Nothobranchius furzeri: one gene and its partners. The protein of the gene in region 3 purifies or fractionates together with the protein of the main gene of each other region. This does not show direct contact. Links are inferred from orthologs where the notes say so. Each region holds a gene or a part of one and is shown on either strand. Other genes may lie near its edges. The genes, in order: pdlim7, NEDD4-like E3 ubiquitin-protein ligase WWP1, tyrosine-protein phosphatase non-receptor type 14, stxbp4 and wwc1.

Region 1 (3,519 bases), on a different chromosome or scaffold from region 3:
AGCACGTCTAGCTGCTGCTTGGCCCTTCCCACGAGACGCGACGCAGCAGAGGAGCAGCTGTCACCGACAGGGCACGAAGTCACACGAGTGACTTCGTCAGTAAACACAACAACAAGCAGGAGAAAACTACAACATGGTTCCAAAATGTTTGTGTTTTTATATTCTGTCCATTTTATAATCGCCAATACGGACCTGAAAAACAAAGGAGACCGCTAGTTGGTGATAACTTCTCACGGGGCCGCACAGTTAGTAACCTTTTTTAAAGTAAAGCGACCGGAAGGCAGTACGTTCTTTATTCTGAAAATCTCGGGAGCTTCTCTCCATTTCCGCGTCCGATTTCCTGTCTTTCCTTCCCCAAAAATGTCAAACTTGACCCGTTTCAGAGGCGTCGCGCGTAGGAAATAGAACCGGCGCGTAAAGGCCGCGACATGCTGCTCCTGAGACGCGGCCGACTCGCGCTGCTGACGGCTCCTGTGGAAAAGGTTCTGTTGACCACAGCCGTTCCTATCAGCAGCTATGACGTGCTGCTGCAGTAACGTGCTGCTGACGGCTGCTGTGGAAAGCCGGGGTAAGTGTTTTTCTCCCCACAAGAAGCTACAATGATGTTCTGCTGAGCTGTGGTGGCCTCATGGAGGGGGCTATCATCTAGCACACTGCTGCTAACCACTTAAACATTCTCCCTCTCCTGATAATAACTTTTTGCTTTCCTTGATGCTGGATGTGCTACTACTAGTTTATCCGTTTAATTATAGATCCACTAGGATACATACAATAAAGTTTATCTCTCACCAAATGGAATATTTACTAAGAAATCACAATATAACTATAGACAAATTACTTCGTCTTTGTGTGTGTGTGTGTGTGTGTGTGTGTGTGTGTGTGTGTGTGTGTGCCTGTTCTGTCTTCTCCATCCCCAGTGAGTCGTGGAGGATGGCTGCTTATACTGAGCCAGGATTCTCTGGAGGTTTTTTCCTGTTAAAAGGGAGTTTTCCTCTCCACTGTCGCTTTATGCTTGCTTAGTATGAGGATTGCTGCAATTTGAATGGCTTAATGAACTGACCTGAATTGGAATGTTTGTTATGTGAAGTGCCTTGAGACAACTCTTGTTGTGATTTGGCGCTATATAAATAAAATTGAATTGAATTGAATTGAATTATGAAGTTTTCAGACCCTGTTTTTATGAATAAGGCCCCTGTCACTTTTGTGAATGAGAATTGACATCTCAATGAGTCCCTCACCTGGTTAAATAAATAATTAAATAAAAATTGTGTGTTTTCATCTTCTCCAGGGGTCGGTACCTGGTGGCCCTGGGTCAGTCCTGGCACCCAGAGGAGTTTACATGCTCTCATTGTAAGGCAGTTCTTGAGGAAGGGGGCTTCTTCGAGGAGAGAGGATCTGTCTACTGCACAAAGTGCCATGATAACCGATATGCTTCGACCTGTGCCAAGTGCAAGAAGAAGATTTCTGGAGTAAGAGCTGCTATTTTTTTCTTTTCTGTTCTTTCAGAAAACTTCAAACCAGAAAGTTAGCTTGACCAGAAAAGGAAAAAGATAAACATGTGAAACTTCTGTTTTCAGGAGATCATGCACGCTCTGAAGATGACCTACCATGTTCAATGTTTTAAATGTGCTGCCTGCAAAGTTCCCATCCGGAATCAGGCTTTTTACATGGAGGAGGGTGAGCCATACTGTGAGAGAGGTGAGACACATTCACATACGCATGTAATGCAGTTAATCATGTAATCCAAGTTTTCATTTTATGTTTTTTAAGATTTCTAGTAAACGTGTTAAACAGCAACACATCTATTTAATTTCTAAAATATGATGAGTTCAACTTCCGCATGTCTGAGAGGAGTCAGTGCTCCGCTTTGTGAAGATGTGCGCGCCCACACGCACAAAGAAGTGAATCCATTAAAATTGAGTCATTCAAATCGAAAAGAAAAGGAGAAAGAGAATAAGTTAGACTGAATTAACGTCCAACGAATAAAAGTGAGTTTTTAAACGAGACTTAAAAAGGGAAAGAGAGGACGAGAGTCTGATCAGGAGGGGCAAGTGGTTCCAGAGCTTCGGTGCACAAACTGAAAAGGCGTGCTCCCAGCGGGATTTACAGCAGGAGCTAGGGACATGTAGGAAGCGCTGGTCAGCTGATCGGAGGGATCTTGTAAGGGCATATGGGTGAATGAGCTCAGACAAGTAGCCAGGTGCTAAGGTATTGAGGGATTTAAACACAAAAACCAGGATCTTAAACTCTATCCGGAGATGGATGGGTAGCCAATGGAGATTTGCTAAAACCGGTGTGATGTGTTCTCGCTGCCTGGTGCCAGTCAAGAATCGAGCTGCTGCGTTCTGCACAAGCTGAAGGCGAGCGAGAGTGGAGGAGGAGATACCATATAGCACTGAGTTAGAGTAGTCGAGACGGGAGGTAATGAAAGCATGGACTACTGAATGGAGATGACGCCTTTTTAAAATGGACTTAACTTTAGAGAGACGCCTCAGGTGGTAAAAACAGGTCTTAACTTCCTGGTTGACATGAATGTCCATTTTTAGTTTTGCATCCATCACAACCCCTAAGTTTGTGACATGGGTTTTCAACCCACTTGTGATAAAAGGAAGGGTCAGTTGGGGACTTTGAGAAGTCCTAGGGCTGAAAATGATGGCCTCTGTCTTGGCATCGTTCAGCAAAAGAAAGTTTTCTGACAGCCAGCTCTTCACATCATTGCAGCATTCAACGAGGAGCTGTAAGGAGTCATTAGGCTGAACTATAAAGAGAAACAGGATCACTTTACAGCATTCAAAAATTACGGCATTAGTAATAAGCAGTTAATAAATGCTTAATAATGACAAGTTCAGACTTAGTAGTCCACTAATACGCATATTAATTGGCAGCTAATTAATGGTTAATTTGTGTTCCCTAAGCTAAAGTGTTACCTTTTTTTTATTTGCTGATAACCAGTATAGATGAGTGTCGTAATGGTGCTGTAGACATGTGTAATCATTAGTGTCACAGTTAAGTTCAACTTACTTCAAATTTAATATTTCAGCCCACAACCGTAATTATATCTCCATCTTCAGGTTAAAAACTCTGCTCCACATTTATCTAGAAAAACTACAATTTTTTACATTCAGGAATTGCTCTTGACTCCTGTATAATCTTTGACTCTTCCCATTTGATCACGTGTTGCACGGGAGCTGGTGTCTTGCTCCCATAGTGCACTCTGGTTTTGGTTAAATACGAGCCACAGATCTAAGTTGTGCGTTTATTTATGAAATCTTTGTAGAATCTAGTCGCACTAATTAGCGCCAATGGAGACGAGCTCTGGTGTAACAATGAGAGGTTCAGTCATGACACTCTATAGACCGCCTGATGCTGACGAGGGGATTTCTCCTGTCAGTGTGATAGGAAGAGGTGAGCTGCTGCTAACCCTAACCCAACAAGCTTTAGTTCATAGAAACACGTTCTATGCCCAGACTGTAGTGACTTGTTATTTATAATGTTATAATTGATATTAAGTGAATGCAC
Region 2 (3,519 bases), on a different chromosome or scaffold from region 3:
CCGTAGTTTCATAGCCTCCTTTAGCTCCTTAGGCTGTGCCGACTTTTAGCTCTTTGCTTCTCCTCCAGAGACACTACTCTCCTACTTCCAGGCTCTGCCATGATGCCAACAGAATTGAGTTTTCTTCTTGAGCTATTTATTCACTGTTTGCCAACTGCTACTCTTTATTTTAGCTACTGACACAATAAACAGCTAACAGCTCATAGAGAGCTCCCCCTAGGACACCTAACTGTCCCACAAAACTGTTTAGTGCGGTGTCTGGTCAGAAGACGGCTGTCCAACACTGGCTCACTGAACTGCTGCATTTCCCTGGGTCCTCCATTCATCACACACACTCAGTTATTTAGCATCAGAATACCACTGGTGTGAGAGGTTCTCCGCTCAATAACATCAGAGAATCAGAAACAGGTGGCTGCTACCACTTCAACTTTAGGACAAACTACCAGAAAGAAAAACACCATTTGAAGTCACAGACAACAAAAAATGCTTGGATCTAGAAACTGGTGACTGGTGTTTAGCACTCTCTCTGACAATGCGGGTTCCCATATCAGGGGGGAGTGGCCTAGGGATGATGGCTGACAAGAAGGGTGAGAGTTCTCTGACTGTCTTTGTGTTTAAAAGTTAGCCAGTTTTGCAGATTTTTTTATTGCAGCTTTAATTTCCGGATGTTTTTCAATCAGCAGCCATTCATATGTTTTCACTTTTATGCACGAACCTGCACATAATCTGTATTTCTGTAATTAGTCATCTCTTGTGTTCCTGTAGGCCCTTTTCCACGGGAAGTTCATCGACACGGGCTTCTCCTTGCCTTTCTACAAACGCATGCTGAACAAGAAGCTGATCCTTAAAGACCTGGAGTCCATCGACCCAGAATTCTACAACTCACTCATATGGATCAGGTAAACATCAGGGCTGTAGCATCGTTTGGTGTGGCCGATAGACATGCAGGTTACGGGTGTTACGAATCACCTTCAAGATTCCTTCAAGAGGAAAGTTCTTTTAAAATATTACTGAAAGGATTTTGTTCATTCACGTGATTTCTGAGAGAAAAAGCATCCCATTATGAACAAATGTGCTCAGTGCTCCATGTTTAGAGTCCGTTTGAACAAACCCTTCTTCTCTTCATAGGCGTTTATTCAGTTTGGGAGGTATTTTTGAACCCACAACCCTACCTGCATCGGAAATAAGAGCAAGGACAACATTTCAAACGTTGAAAATGAAAAAGACTCCTGAGTACCAGATCTTTAAGTTAACACTGTGGAACAGAACTAAATAAATCACTGAGATAAAAGAGAACTGAAAAAAAAAGTGAATAAAATGTTGCATAAGTTATATCTTTGCAGGCTTTGTCATTAATTGTTTAGATTTTAACCAGCTCCATGAGACTTTTACCAGGTCTAGCCGGTACAGCAACAGGGTTTTTCCTGAATCAAATGGAGGCAGAGGTGGTACCGTCCTGACCATGCACCAGCACATGCATACTCGGTGCATTCAACTGCCTCACTTTTTTGAAGGCAAAATATTTTTTTGTCAAGTGTTCTAATCTAAGCTTCTGTTGATGAATAGAGTATTCCATTTGACAATATTTCAAGTGAAACAAAACTGGTTTGCTGCTAAAAATTACGAAATAAAACAACAAAATGATCAGGCTGAAATAACAGACTTATTATAAAAGGCTCAATAATATGCATTAGATTGGTGTTTAGTTCCCTTTTCCCATCTGATATTTATAGTTAAAAATATTTTTAAATATTTAACCTACATTTCAGTAACATTTTAGGTTTGTATTAATAACACTCATCTTAGTCAAAATAACACATAAATATATCCAGTAAAATATAATGCATTTCATTAACATGCATTTGTATTGGAAATGGTAATAACATTTCATTTCTGCTGCTAACAGTGTAATGGTGGCATGTCCATTATGTACGGGTTGGCAATAATCCAGTTCAAATTATGTTCAGAGATAGAAGCGTTTGTGGATTATATACTACAACGGCTTGCCTTAGACTTGTAGCAGTAATGTCACTCGTATCTGCAGCGGTTCTGATCCAGAGTGCTGCAGGATGCAGGATAAACAGGATGGTGGGGACTTTTCATCCGCTTGTAGAGTTTAGTCTTAGTTTTTCGATCATCATATATTTTTCTGTGCGCCACTTGATCGTGAGACTGCTACCTGTTAGCTTTAGCCTATCTGTGTGTAGCAGCACTTTTGATCCCAAACTTTGGACCAGTTCTGCCTTTGCTGGTTCCTTTATTTTCCTCCACTGCATCCAGATTTCCACACTGTGTGCCAGTAAAAAGCATTTTTCTTACACGTAACTTACTTTTGTTCAATAAAGTTCTGGGGAAAATAGACAGACACACACAGACAGTGTTTTTTTTTTTTTTGTCGCACTGAGCCCTACTCTGATATGGAAGAGCCTGGGGGAAAATCAGGACGTCAATAGCACCAACCAAAGATATGTACCAACTAGCGAGAAAAGCCATTTTTCATCTTTTTTTGCAGCGGTTTTCGCGCTTTTTAGTGCACTGCTGCTGATACAGCACCTGTGTAGTGGCGCAACGCTGCAACTGCAGTTAAAATAACATCCATATAGCTGGGGGCAGAGTGAAATCAGGCTGGGGCGGCACAACATTAGCTGGAGGTGGCCGCCACGCAAATTTGAACGCAGGAAAAACCCTGAGCACGAACCACGGCAGGTGTCGTGATAGATGGCTTTATGTAGAGAATGTGTCAAGCACCTGCTGGCCTCGCAGATCATCACAGCCTCAGGCCACCATGTTGGTTTACCCTTACACATACGAGCTGCATTTCTCTGTCAGCTCTTCACTTGGCGAGTCCGGGGGTTCTTTTTCCACATAAAGGTCCTGAAACTAAACTAAACTGAACCAGAGCTCTCTTAGCACGTAACGTTTTACATTTCCACTGGTCACACCTCAGACTTCTGCACCAAACAGCCTCCTCTCTGCTGGACTGGAGGGAAGAGCTGCCTGAGGCAGGATCAGGGAGACCCACAGCCTGAAAGTGTTGTGAGCAGCTCTGAGTCAGTTTCTTTGTTTTCATTTGAAACAAGAAACAAGTATGAGCTTGTCGACACACTGAAATGTCATGATACTAAATCTGTGTTTAAAAGCTGTGCATTGATTTATTTTTATTGAGCATTTTCATTCAAACATTTCCAGAATTTTTATTGTGTGGTGCAATTCACACTCCAACTGCTAGGGGGCAGCAGGATTTTCCTCCTTTATTCTCACAAAATCACCAGAGGTGTCTGAACTGACTTGTACGATTAATTTTAGTCCTAAAAATTGCGACTATCATCTGACTTTTCGTGCCAGAATATGTCGTGTTGCCAGATTCTTGCCAGGACACACCCCTAATAAGCAGGATCTCCTCCCCTCAGGGACAACAACATAGAGGAATGTGGTCTGGAGATGTACTTCTCAGTTGACATGGAGATCTTGGGGAAGATCACTTCTCATGACCTCAAACCCGATGGCGCCAACATCCTG
Region 3 (2,783 bases):
AAATGACCTCCCACTTTGGGAAAATGCCTAAAATGTATTAAATCACGGTAAAAACTGTGATAAGTTGTATAGAAATGGGATCATTTGGAATTTCTAGATGACTTAAAACATTCGTGTTTTTCAAATGCTCTTATGGGTCTAAACTGGATTTTATTTTCATTTGTTTCACAGATAATGTGAGAAAAGTTTACAAAGAATTATTCTGAAAAACTGTAAATGAGTTCAGATCGGTGTGCTCGCCAACAACGAGAAGAAGGTGACCACATTTTTATCAAAATAAATAAAATATCTGTTACAGAACTGAAGTCAGTGCTTGCTGTTCTAATCAACACTCGGTGAATTAAAAAATACTTTAGTTTGGCAAAACGAGGGTGAGAATGTTGTACCACTGCTGCCCCCTACTGTTCATGCAGCATGACACCAAGTCTAATACTGGCTGGAACATGAAATGTAACAGGGACTCAAAGCTGATGATGCTCACCTGTAGTCTCACACACATGCAGACACACGGCAGAAAAGAAAGGCTGTTCTTTAAACCAACCTACATGAAGATCAGGTTCAAAAGACCAAAATCAAGATAAGGAAACAAAAACCTAAATCTGAATACTTTGAGGAAAGGAAAATTCTAATTTCTGCAAAAACAAATTGTGAGTCTGTACCAGGTTACATTATAGCGCCATAAGTTTGGGTCCCACGGTGATCATCTAGTAGCACTAACGGGTTGCCCCGGCTCAGATGAGGCGGGAGTTCTTGAGGAACTGGATGAGGACCTGGTAGACGAACTGGTACTGGGAGATGGTTTGCACCATCAGCATCCTCTGCTGCCTCAGCTTTGACAACATGGTGGGAACTTCTACTGGCTGGAAGGAAAGGAAAAACAAAAAAAAGATGAATTATTTAAACTTACAGAATTATGAAGGAGGCTGCGCTGCAGCACTAATATGAATGAATAATCGCCGTGGTAACAGGAGCATCTACACACCTCGTTGTGCTCCAGGCAGCTGATCATGAGCTCAGTGAGGATTACCACGCCGGTACGGCCCACGCCGGCGCTGCAGTGCACCAACACTGGCGGGTTGAGGCTCTTTGAGGTATCCAGCATGGAGTTGGTGTGTCTCCTCACAGATTGGATCCCTTCCAGGTAGGCTGCAGGGAGAAAAGAGGCGTAGAGCCGAGTGAGTCTTCAGGAGTTAAACGGTAAAGTTGTCATTGTCGTCGTTAACTCACAGAGGAATCCGGGGACGTATTCAGGACAGCCCTGCTCAGGCCAGTCGGTGTACTGCAGGTGCCAAACCGTCCTCTCTTGGCCAGACAGCAAGTGTTTGACCTTTAACCCTGTGGTGGCGTAGCAGTTATACTCGGTGCGGAATTTGGTGGTCACCTTGTACTTGCCGTGTGTGGCCGAGTTGTGTTTGGAGCCCAGTTTGGGCCAGTAGCGGTGACTCTTGGACCTGCCGCACTCCTGAATTGGACATCGATACGAGATGATTCGTGGGTGAAAGTAGAGAATGAGATATCCATCTGTTTCTAACAGCTGTTGGCCACTAGAAACTATTCACATCTGTGTGTGCCACATTGTGTATACCTCTTCTGCAGTAACCATGGCGATCACATTGACCCCCTGCTCCCAGACCATCTGCCAGAAGTCGCCGCAGGTGTGGGCCAGCGGGCCCTGAGTGGCGATGTAGTGCCACTCCTCCCCTCTGATCATAACCTGAGAAAGAATATTTATTAATCATTATTAAAACTACACTAATATCACAAATCTTCATGAAGAAAACCTGTAAAACAATGAGGTTTAGTTTGATTAAAAGCGCTGTTTCTGCACATATTCACCACTAGATGGCAGTATAAATAGATACTTTTTCCTCTCATAGTTTTTTGCTCTTTATTATGAAAATTACACATTTTCCATTTTCCACACAGTTCTAACATTTTTACCTAATGGTCAACTGGTTTCTCGTCCATCTCCTGATTGTAAACACCGTACTTTTAGTCGAATCAAGAATAAAGTGCTTTATTTTCCTAAATAAACCACCCTACCTTAATTCCAAGGAAATAAATCAGACAGATGTTACCAAGCTTCTATTTCACATTTTTATTATTTAAGTTGGTGTTCACAGACTGCAATGAGAGAAACTGGAGTTTCTTAAGAGGGTTGGAGTTTGAACTACATTCTTTAGTAATTCCAAAGAGCTCTTAGAGCTTAAGGGCCCAAACAACCTTCAATGGCTGCCTTTCATCCTCTCCTCCAAGTTATTTCCTGACTCGGTTCATTTATTTTATTCTTCACTGTAATTCAGCCTGAATTATACCACTGATGCAAAAAGCTCTGAGATTAGACGTTTTTCAGAACATAGTAAACACTAGAATTTTAATTTAGACTTTTATTCTAAGCAGATATGATCAATGTGTTATTTTCATGAATTGGCTTTAAGACACTGACTGGGTTAGGGTTAGAAATGGTAAATATTTCATTGTTCAGTTCCCTATATGAAATCCCTTCATTTCTGAACAAACCTGCTTGAAATTTTTGAACATTTGGTTAATTTGCAAATAAATTAGAGAAAATAAATTATAAAAACATATCCATAAGCAGTGTGAATAAATCTTTCGACGTCAAGCAGGGAGGTGTTTTAAATAATAGGAAAAAGGAAAAATGGTTACAGGTGTGGTTCACTAATTTAATCAATACATTTCCAGTGGTAGGAATTAATGCCTTGCCGCCGTACTCAGGGCGCAGGAAGCCCACAAACGCCTGGCTCAGCAGGGATAAGTCTGCA
Region 4 (3,519 bases), on a different chromosome or scaffold from region 3:
GTGCATCATAAAACCATTGAATCAGTGTTTTAAGAAGCTGTTTCTGTAAATAAGCTGAAACGAGAGCCGGTTTGCAGCAGCTCGTGCGTATTTGTCTCCTCTCAGACCTGGGTGATGTTGACTGGGGGCAGCGTCTCACAGGTTGGGTTTCGGCTTGATGTGATCTTGGTGACAACACTTGGCTGTGGAGCCATGGGGCCTGGGCCAGTGGCCCTCGACTGGGGCCCACCTCCACCCCCCTGCAGGCAGACAGGGCTGTGTGAGCCGCTACTGGAGCTGGAAGACGATCTCCTTCTGATGAAGGCAATTTCCACGGTAGGGTCAGGTCTGAAATACAAGGTCAGGATGAATTCAAACTCTTCCCCATTGGTTGGTGAATAACTTCCTGCTCCAAGTGAGTTGGACCTGAGCTTGGTGCGAGTCAGGATGCTCCTGGCCTCCTCATATGTCACACCAATCAGAGACTCTTTGTTGATGGACACCAACTGGTCTCCCACCTGCAGGCGGCCATCCTGAAACAGAACAAATCCAGCAGTCAGGTTCTGCTGTGTACCAGGTCTCCTGACCCAAAGTCTAATTGGAAAAATCATCTCCAAAATTTTACTACTGAAGATGTTTTCAGACTTTAAGTTGGAGGAGATTTCACATGAAAACAAAAATGCACAGCAGATGATCTTCAACAAACTTAAAGATGAGTCTGGAAAACAAATACCATCCTCAAATGTGTGCTGAACATGGCAGAAGCTGACCTTCTGGCAGTCTCCTCCAGAAACAATTTCCTGAATGAACACCATTGGTCCTTCGGCTCGATTGGCTCCTCCCTTAACGACCAGCCCCAAGCCGGTTCCCTTGGCCACACATATCAACTGAATGACACTGTCACTGAGGAAAAGGAGAAGAGACGAGAGGATGACTTAGTCAGCAGCAGCATGAAATAATCTCTAACCCTCCTTCTCTTGCTCTGCATTTAAAAGAGCTGAAGTAGCGTTTCACTATTTATAGGTTTTGCTGGTGTTTCCATGAAGCAGGTTCACAGTTTAACGTTTGTGTAACCGAGAGAAAAACATTCTGTAGCAGCTGCATTAAACAGGATGAAAAATGGAGAGAATCTCAGTTAGGGATAACCTCAGGTGATTTCATTTTATAAAGGCTGACGACAGGAAAATACCAGCCTTATCTAAACACACTCTTGGAATTCTCTTGATGAGCTCCAAGAGGTAGTCCTTTAAGACTGGTGGAAACCCCTTTTCAGGGGACTACCTCTTGAACCTCATCAAGAGAATGCCAAGAGTGTGTAAAGCAGTAATCAGAGCAAAGGGTGGCTATTTTGAAGAAAATAGAATAAAAAACATGATTTCTGTTATTTCACCTTTTTTGGTTAAGTACATAACTCCACATGTGTTCATTCATAGTTTTGATGCCTTCAGTGAGAATCTCCCAATGTTAATGGTCATGAAAATAAAGACAACACATTGAATGAGAAGGTGTGTCCAAACTTTTGGCCTGTACTGTATATATATATATATATATATATATATATATATATATATATATATATATATATATATATATATATATATATATATATATATATATATATATATATATATACACACACACACACACACACACACACACAGCGTCTCCCCTAGACTATGACCCCCCCCCCCCCCACCCCCCCACCCCCCACCCCCTCACCCACCCCCCCACCCCCCCGAACTTCACTTACTGTGGGTGCAATGGGGTGGTGTGGTGGCATCAGCTGGCATAGGCCAGACGAAGGCCGCACTGCCCGCTCACCAAAGCCATGGAATACACCTCATCAACACACACTAACGCTATATTGGAGCAGGCGGAGGGAGACTAGGGGTCTTTGCACACCTCTATTGTTGCTTGGCTTCCTGGGGCTGGAGGCTAGGAGGGAGATCTGGCCATCTGGTTGGAGTCTGGGGTGGTGGGTTGCTGTGCTAAGCGTTGGGCGGGGGAACCTGCTCATCAGCACCCCAGCAGAAAGGGTCAAACTCTGGGAACCGGCAATGGTTGTACCCCATGTGCAGCAGTACCGGGACCAGAGTGAATAGGGTGTGTATGGAGAGCATGAGTGGGTGTCCAGCGTGCATTTTTGTAAGTCTTTGGTTGTATGTGTATGTGTGAGCATGAGGAAGGGAGTGTGTGACTTGACTGTGTTTGTGTATGACTATATATGTCAGGTGGGGCCTTTGACTCCTCCCTTCTCCTGGGACTTCTTTTGATGATATAGATCTTCGTCTTCCCCCTCCCTGCCACACCTGGTGTGGAGTGCGGTGCCTTGGTCTGCCTGAATGTTCGTGGTTCCCGGGCATGGACGTCATTTTCGCTTTAGAAGTGGGGGGGACACGGGGGTGGGGGGGTATCTTTACAGTATGCTCTAATGGGAAACAGGCTTCAACACAAACGGTTGTTTTCCGCTTGGTCCTAGAGCTCAACCAGTGTCAATTTAATATAAAGTAATATTGTTTTTGGATGGTAAAAAGTGCAGGGGTCAAAACTTGACTTGGAAAAAGTGGGGGGGACATGTCACCCCCCCCCCCCCCCAATTATGTCCATGCTCCCGGGTCAGGGGGTTTAAGATTTTTGGCGTCTGCCTGATCAATCCCGGTGGCTGCCTGGTGGGGTCTGGGTCCCTGGGCTCTGCTGGGTCCCCGGCGGGGGTGGTCGCCCCTGGGTCCCGGGTCGCTGGGTCCTGGGCTCGGCCGGCTAGGGGGTGGGAGGCTGCGGGCGGGCCTGTGGGCTTGCCACTTATATCTCCCGGGATTCTGCCGGCTGCTGGTTGTGGCCCCCTGGGGCAATCCTCTGCACCTCTTGAGGGGGGCGGGGGCCTTTCTGGTTGCAGTCTCCTTGGGGTTCCTGTATTCTGGGGCAGCACCTGGATCTCTGGGACTTGGAGCTCCCTCCATCTCATATGCATCTTTGGGGGGCAGATATGTGGCCCCTCACACTCTCTACTGGATGCTCCCATAGAGAAACCTTACATATACAAGCGCGTGTACGCACACAGGTACTCACATGGTGCTCTCATAAGTATGGCTTTGGGCACGTTCAACACAGGTCTTAAGGCTATGGTGGGCACTAAATGCACTGTGATTAATTATCGTGTGATTGTTCAGTTAAACAATGTTGATTGTTCAAGTTGACGCAGTGATAGCTTGCTCTTGTTGTATTGTTGTGTGTCCCATTTTTTTTATTTTTATTTATTTATTTTTCTCTTTTTTCTCTTTTTGATCACTTTTTATATTAGGTTTATTCTGGGTGTGCAGCACAGACAACCCCATCAGTCTTCTCAAACCCTCTGCAGCTGTTGTACCTGAAGGCGTGCACTGATGTGTGCATGCTGTAGGCGGGGTTGCTAGTGTAGTGCGGCGTGTGGGGGTAGGCAGTGACACCTCCCTCTTTGGGACTGAGGAGTTGGGGGCTCTCTGATCGGGAGGAAGAGGAGGAGGATGCCGTGTCCATCAGTTTCCCTGAGCAGAAACAAGAGAA
Region 5 (3,519 bases), on a different chromosome or scaffold from region 3:
CTGACCAATGAGCAGACAGGATGCTCCGTACACCTCCGAGCAAACATGGAGGAGAAGTTGATACTTGCTGTGACGGATTTCCCAGAACTGTACAATATTTCTACCAAAGAATATAGAGAAGTTCCCAAAAGGGAAATTGTCGGTGCCAGAAAGAACACATTGGGATCGTACTTGAGGTCCCTCATTAAATGATGGTATTCTCCGTTTCTTTCTCTGGTTTGTAATATGGGACGAACCCATTCTCGAAGTTTTTTTTATATTGTAAAATCAGAAGTAAGATTTCACATAACTCTAGCGGCACCTTGTGACACATCATATCTACCACTTTTTTAACTCTGAACCACTTAAATAACCTTAATTCCCTCCAACCTGACACAGCCAATCAAAACAACGGATGATTCGATTTCGCCATGGAACAGAACGCGCCGACGGCTTTGCCGCTGCCGCGGGTCGCCTCCCGTGTGTCAGGTAATTAAAGCGACGAATTTCGCTGATCGAGGTTGTTTGTCGCCTCCCGTGTGTCGAGCTCATCAAACTGTAGTTTGTTGATGCGATGATGATTTAGAGGAACGAGAATATTTCAGCATTAATGTAGCTTTGAATCTGATCGCCAAACAGTCTCACAGCAGTACATCTTCAGGAGTGTCGTCAAACATCTCTGGCCCTTGTGACCTTCAGGGGGAAGGGATTTATGAGATAATAGGAGTGTGTATTAGCGAGAATCTGGCCGTACGATGTTAATCACAGTACAGGGGAGACGATATGATATATTGCAATACTAAAAGCAAGCATCATATTTGCTGTTCTTAACTCGTTCATTTTTTACTGTGTGGGCGTCGGACGAGCCCCCGCACCGTGAGAACAAACATCTCAGCTCTAAAGTTGATCTTCATCCGCATACGTCACACGTCACGTGATCAGGAAGCAGAACATCCATGTGTTAGGAGATCGTTTTGGGCCACTGTTGTAAAAAAAGTGAGGCGCGAACCGGAAAAGCTTCTGCCGACCACAATTCAACAACGGATTATGAAAGAACGGATAACGCTCGAAACGTGCGGATTCTTCCTGATGTAAGAGGTGAGTCTCCGCTTTGTTTTGGCGTTGACATCATCCTAGCGCGCACCGTTCAGTGACTCTTAAAAAAACAGTAAAAACAGTGAGAAATGCTGGCAGCGAATGAGTTAAGAGTGAATTTAATCAAGAACTCGACCCAGACGCTTCCAGACACGCCCAGTGTTATCGTGGTTCCTTCTGACAGAAATGGGTAAAAACTGCTGCCACCTAGCTGTTGGAGTTTGAGTTACATCTCACAAAATAAATACAGTAAATGTTTGCATGTAAATTCACAGTAAAAGAATCGATGCACCGCTTTCAAATATTGATTCAGTATCAGAACATGAAATATCGCAATACTTCAGCATATCGATATGTCCTTACATCCCCACAAGATGTTGTCCTGTAATAAACTCTCCATAAAGAGGACGTCTAGCCTTTTCTGAACCTGCTAGAGCTAAAACATCTGCTTTAGTTTGTTTCTGTGCTGTTTGCTTCGTAGCAAACGCTCCGGCTGGTCTGAAGCTAACAAACAAGCTGCAACGGGACGTTTAATGTTTGTCCTGCAGGTACGTCCGCCTGGCGGTGCTGCCCTCCGTCCAGGCCATGCGTTGCCTCTTCCGAACACGCAGCTCGCTGCCTCAGGAAGTCGTGGAGATCAACGAGGTGTTTGGCATGCAGATTTCCCACGGTGCGTTGCGGCAGAAGACGCTGAGGGTTGACGTCTGTGACGGCAGCACGTCGGGCCTCGAGGAGTGTCTGGTTAGTGTGATGATCCCGTTAGACGTGACGAGTTTAGACGGATGTAATAAAATTTGTTCTTCCTCCAGGCGGGGGCTCAGATCAGCCTGGCTGACATCAGCTGTTCGGAGGACAGGTGCACCAAGTGGTACAACCTACTGAGTCGCCTCTACATGCCTGAGATCAGCAACAAGGACAGAGGGAGCAGAGCAACGGGTGACTCTGATCAGGTACCGGTGGGGGGGACACTGACACCTGGTGGTTGGGTTGGAAAGGACACTCAGCAGCTAAACAACAAAACCCGCCATTTTTAAAGTTGCTCTTGTTAGTTTAATAATAAAAAACAATCCGCACTTAAATGTAGGTAAACGTCACCTGACTGATCATCACTTTAACACCTTATTGTAGATTTGCTGCTGAGTTCTGAGTAATGGACGAGATGTTTTGTTTCAGGCTGGTGTTGGTAGCAGAGAGGAGGACCGAGCTGGTGATGATTGGTGAGTTTTACCTCCTCTTTGGTTCTGCTGCTCCTTCTGTAGAAAGCCTCGTCCCTGGTTCACAGCTTCTGACCTGATGATAAATAAATGGGGTTTGGCTTTTAAATCTTCAGGTGCAGCGGTCATCTGAAGGCAGATGTACTTGATGAAGATGAGGGTGGAGATGGGGAGGAGCTTCAGGAGGAAGAAGATGAGTTCTACCCTGAGAGCAGCCAGTGGGAGACGGAGGAGGAGGAGGAGGTGACCAAACCCCCTCCAGCTGCAGCACCCATCACAGAGAAGGTAGAACTTTGTTTCTGCTGGTTGTGGATGAAGACGGATAGTTACGGATGCCAGTAGGTCTAAAGTCTTCATCGTCTCCTCCGTCCAGGTGAACAAGGAGACCAGTACGGATGGATTATCCTCGTCCCATCACTGCTTCGTGGTTCGACCCAAAGAGCGCCGCCCGGACGTCCACCAGCAGAACCCGTTCATGAGGGGCAACACCATCATTCGCTCCAAGACCTTTTCCCCTGGACCTCAGAGCCAGTACATCTGCAGGGTACCAGAACCGCTCCCATGGCAACAGAAAGAGGAACTTCTCATGTTTCTGATGGTTTTATTCTAAAAGCTGTTTTGATTTGCAGATTAATCGCAGCGACAGCGACAGCTCCACCCTCTCCAAGAGGTCTCCGTTTGTCAGGAATGCCTCAGAACGGCGAAGCATGCGCATGAAGAAGGTAGAGAGTTATTCCTGCTGTGAGATAGGCGTCTTTAACATCGGAGTCAGTGGGAACTTGCTCCTTTCTGGAGTCAGCCCCGAGCGGATGAGATGCAGTAAACATTTGTGACGATGTGTTTGGTGTTTACTGCAGGTTTTTATTGTTTTTCTGAGAGCAGCTGCATCTTTTTAACCGACTTAAGCGGTTCTGGGCCAGTGTGTGTGTGGACTAGGGGTTGTATCGACTAGTCGACTTCACTGCTTTTTATGCCTTTCATCGACTAGTCGCTGTCACGTGATGATGACTGACAAGATGCAGTCCTCAGAAAAGTCAGCAGGTGACAAGCTCCTGCGCATCCGGAGGCAACGCGCTGTGCCAGAGCGTCGGTACTGACGCCCGCCGTAAAACGGACATCTAACCAAATTGTGACATTTACCCTCTTGCAATTTAACCTTCCCCTCACCCCCATCCTAACCTTAACCAGCTTGCACATGCAAAGCTGTGATTGTTGACGCGCTCCAGACATC

Evidence for each region.
Region 1: the proteins of tyrosine-protein phosphatase non-receptor type 14 (region 3) and pdlim7 purify together in Homo sapiens (affinity purification with mass spectrometry; 3 studies listed by BioGRID and IntAct, counting the BioPlex papers as one, with this or other methods). This does not show direct contact. The link is inferred for Nothobranchius furzeri from reciprocal best matches to the Homo sapiens genes PTPN14 and PDLIM7.
Region 2: the proteins of tyrosine-protein phosphatase non-receptor type 14 (region 3) and NEDD4-like E3 ubiquitin-protein ligase WWP1 purify together in Homo sapiens (affinity purification with mass spectrometry; 3 studies listed by BioGRID). This does not show direct contact. The link is inferred for Nothobranchius furzeri from reciprocal best matches to the Homo sapiens genes PTPN14 and WWP1.
Region 4: the proteins of tyrosine-protein phosphatase non-receptor type 14 (region 3) and stxbp4 purify together in Homo sapiens (affinity purification with mass spectrometry; 3 studies listed by BioGRID and IntAct, counting the BioPlex papers as one, with this or other methods). This does not show direct contact. The link is inferred for Nothobranchius furzeri from reciprocal best matches to the Homo sapiens genes PTPN14 and STXBP4.
Region 5: the proteins of tyrosine-protein phosphatase non-receptor type 14 (region 3) and wwc1 purify together in Homo sapiens (affinity purification with mass spectrometry; 7 studies listed by BioGRID and IntAct, counting the BioPlex papers as one, with this or other methods). This does not show direct contact. The link is inferred for Nothobranchius furzeri from reciprocal best matches to the Homo sapiens genes PTPN14 and WWC1.

The regions. Positions count from the first base shown.
Region 1 is NC_091741.1:103,112,475-103,115,993, reverse strand, and holds part of pdlim7 (PDZ and LIM domain protein 7), read left to right. Parts: intron 1-1,288; coding exon 1,289-1,469; intron 1,470-1,577; coding exon 1,578-1,698; intron 1,699-3,519. UniProt on the Homo sapiens protein: May function as a scaffold on which the coordinated assembly of proteins can occur. May play a role as an adapter that, via its PDZ domain, localizes LIM-binding proteins to actin filaments of both skeletal muscle and nonmuscle tissues.
Region 2 is NC_091747.1:36,665,735-36,669,253, reverse strand, and holds part of NEDD4-like E3 ubiquitin-protein ligase WWP1, read left to right. Parts: intron 1-765; coding exon 766-899; intron 900-3,410; coding exon 3,411-3,519. UniProt on the Homo sapiens protein: E3 ubiquitin-protein ligase which accepts ubiquitin from an E2 ubiquitin-conjugating enzyme in the form of a thioester and then directly transfers the ubiquitin to targeted substrates.
Region 3 is NC_091742.1:4,858,011-4,860,793, forward strand, and holds the end of tyrosine-protein phosphatase non-receptor type 14, read right to left. Parts: intron 1,715-2,783; coding exon 1,586-1,714; intron 1,463-1,585; coding exon 1,228-1,462; intron 1,147-1,227; coding exon 983-1,146; intron 861-982; coding exon 732-860; 3' UTR 515-731; downstream 1-514. UniProt on the Homo sapiens protein: Protein tyrosine phosphatase which may play a role in the regulation of lymphangiogenesis, cell-cell adhesion, cell-matrix adhesion, cell migration, cell growth and also regulates TGF-beta gene expression, thereby modulating epithelial-mesenchymal transition.
Region 4 is NC_091756.1:51,671,562-51,675,080, forward strand, and holds part of stxbp4 (syntaxin-binding protein 4), read right to left. Parts: intron 3,501-3,519; coding exon 3,344-3,500; intron 883-3,343; coding exon 750-882; intron 513-749; coding exon 406-512; intron 328-405; coding exon 108-327; intron 1-107. UniProt on the Homo sapiens protein: Plays a role in the translocation of transport vesicles from the cytoplasm to the plasma membrane. Inhibits the translocation of SLC2A4 from intracellular vesicles to the plasma membrane by STX4A binding and preventing the interaction between STX4A and VAMP2.
Region 5 is NC_091750.1:71,332,297-71,335,815, forward strand, and holds part of wwc1 (protein KIBRA), read left to right. Parts: intron 1-1,622; coding exon 1,623-1,815; intron 1,816-1,883; coding exon 1,884-2,024; intron 2,025-2,247; coding exon 2,248-2,291; intron 2,292-2,404; coding exon 2,405-2,573; intron 2,574-2,661; coding exon 2,662-2,832; intron 2,833-2,917; coding exon 2,918-3,010; intron 3,011-3,519. UniProt on the Homo sapiens protein: Regulator of the Hippo signaling pathway, also known as the Salvador-Warts-Hippo (SWH) pathway.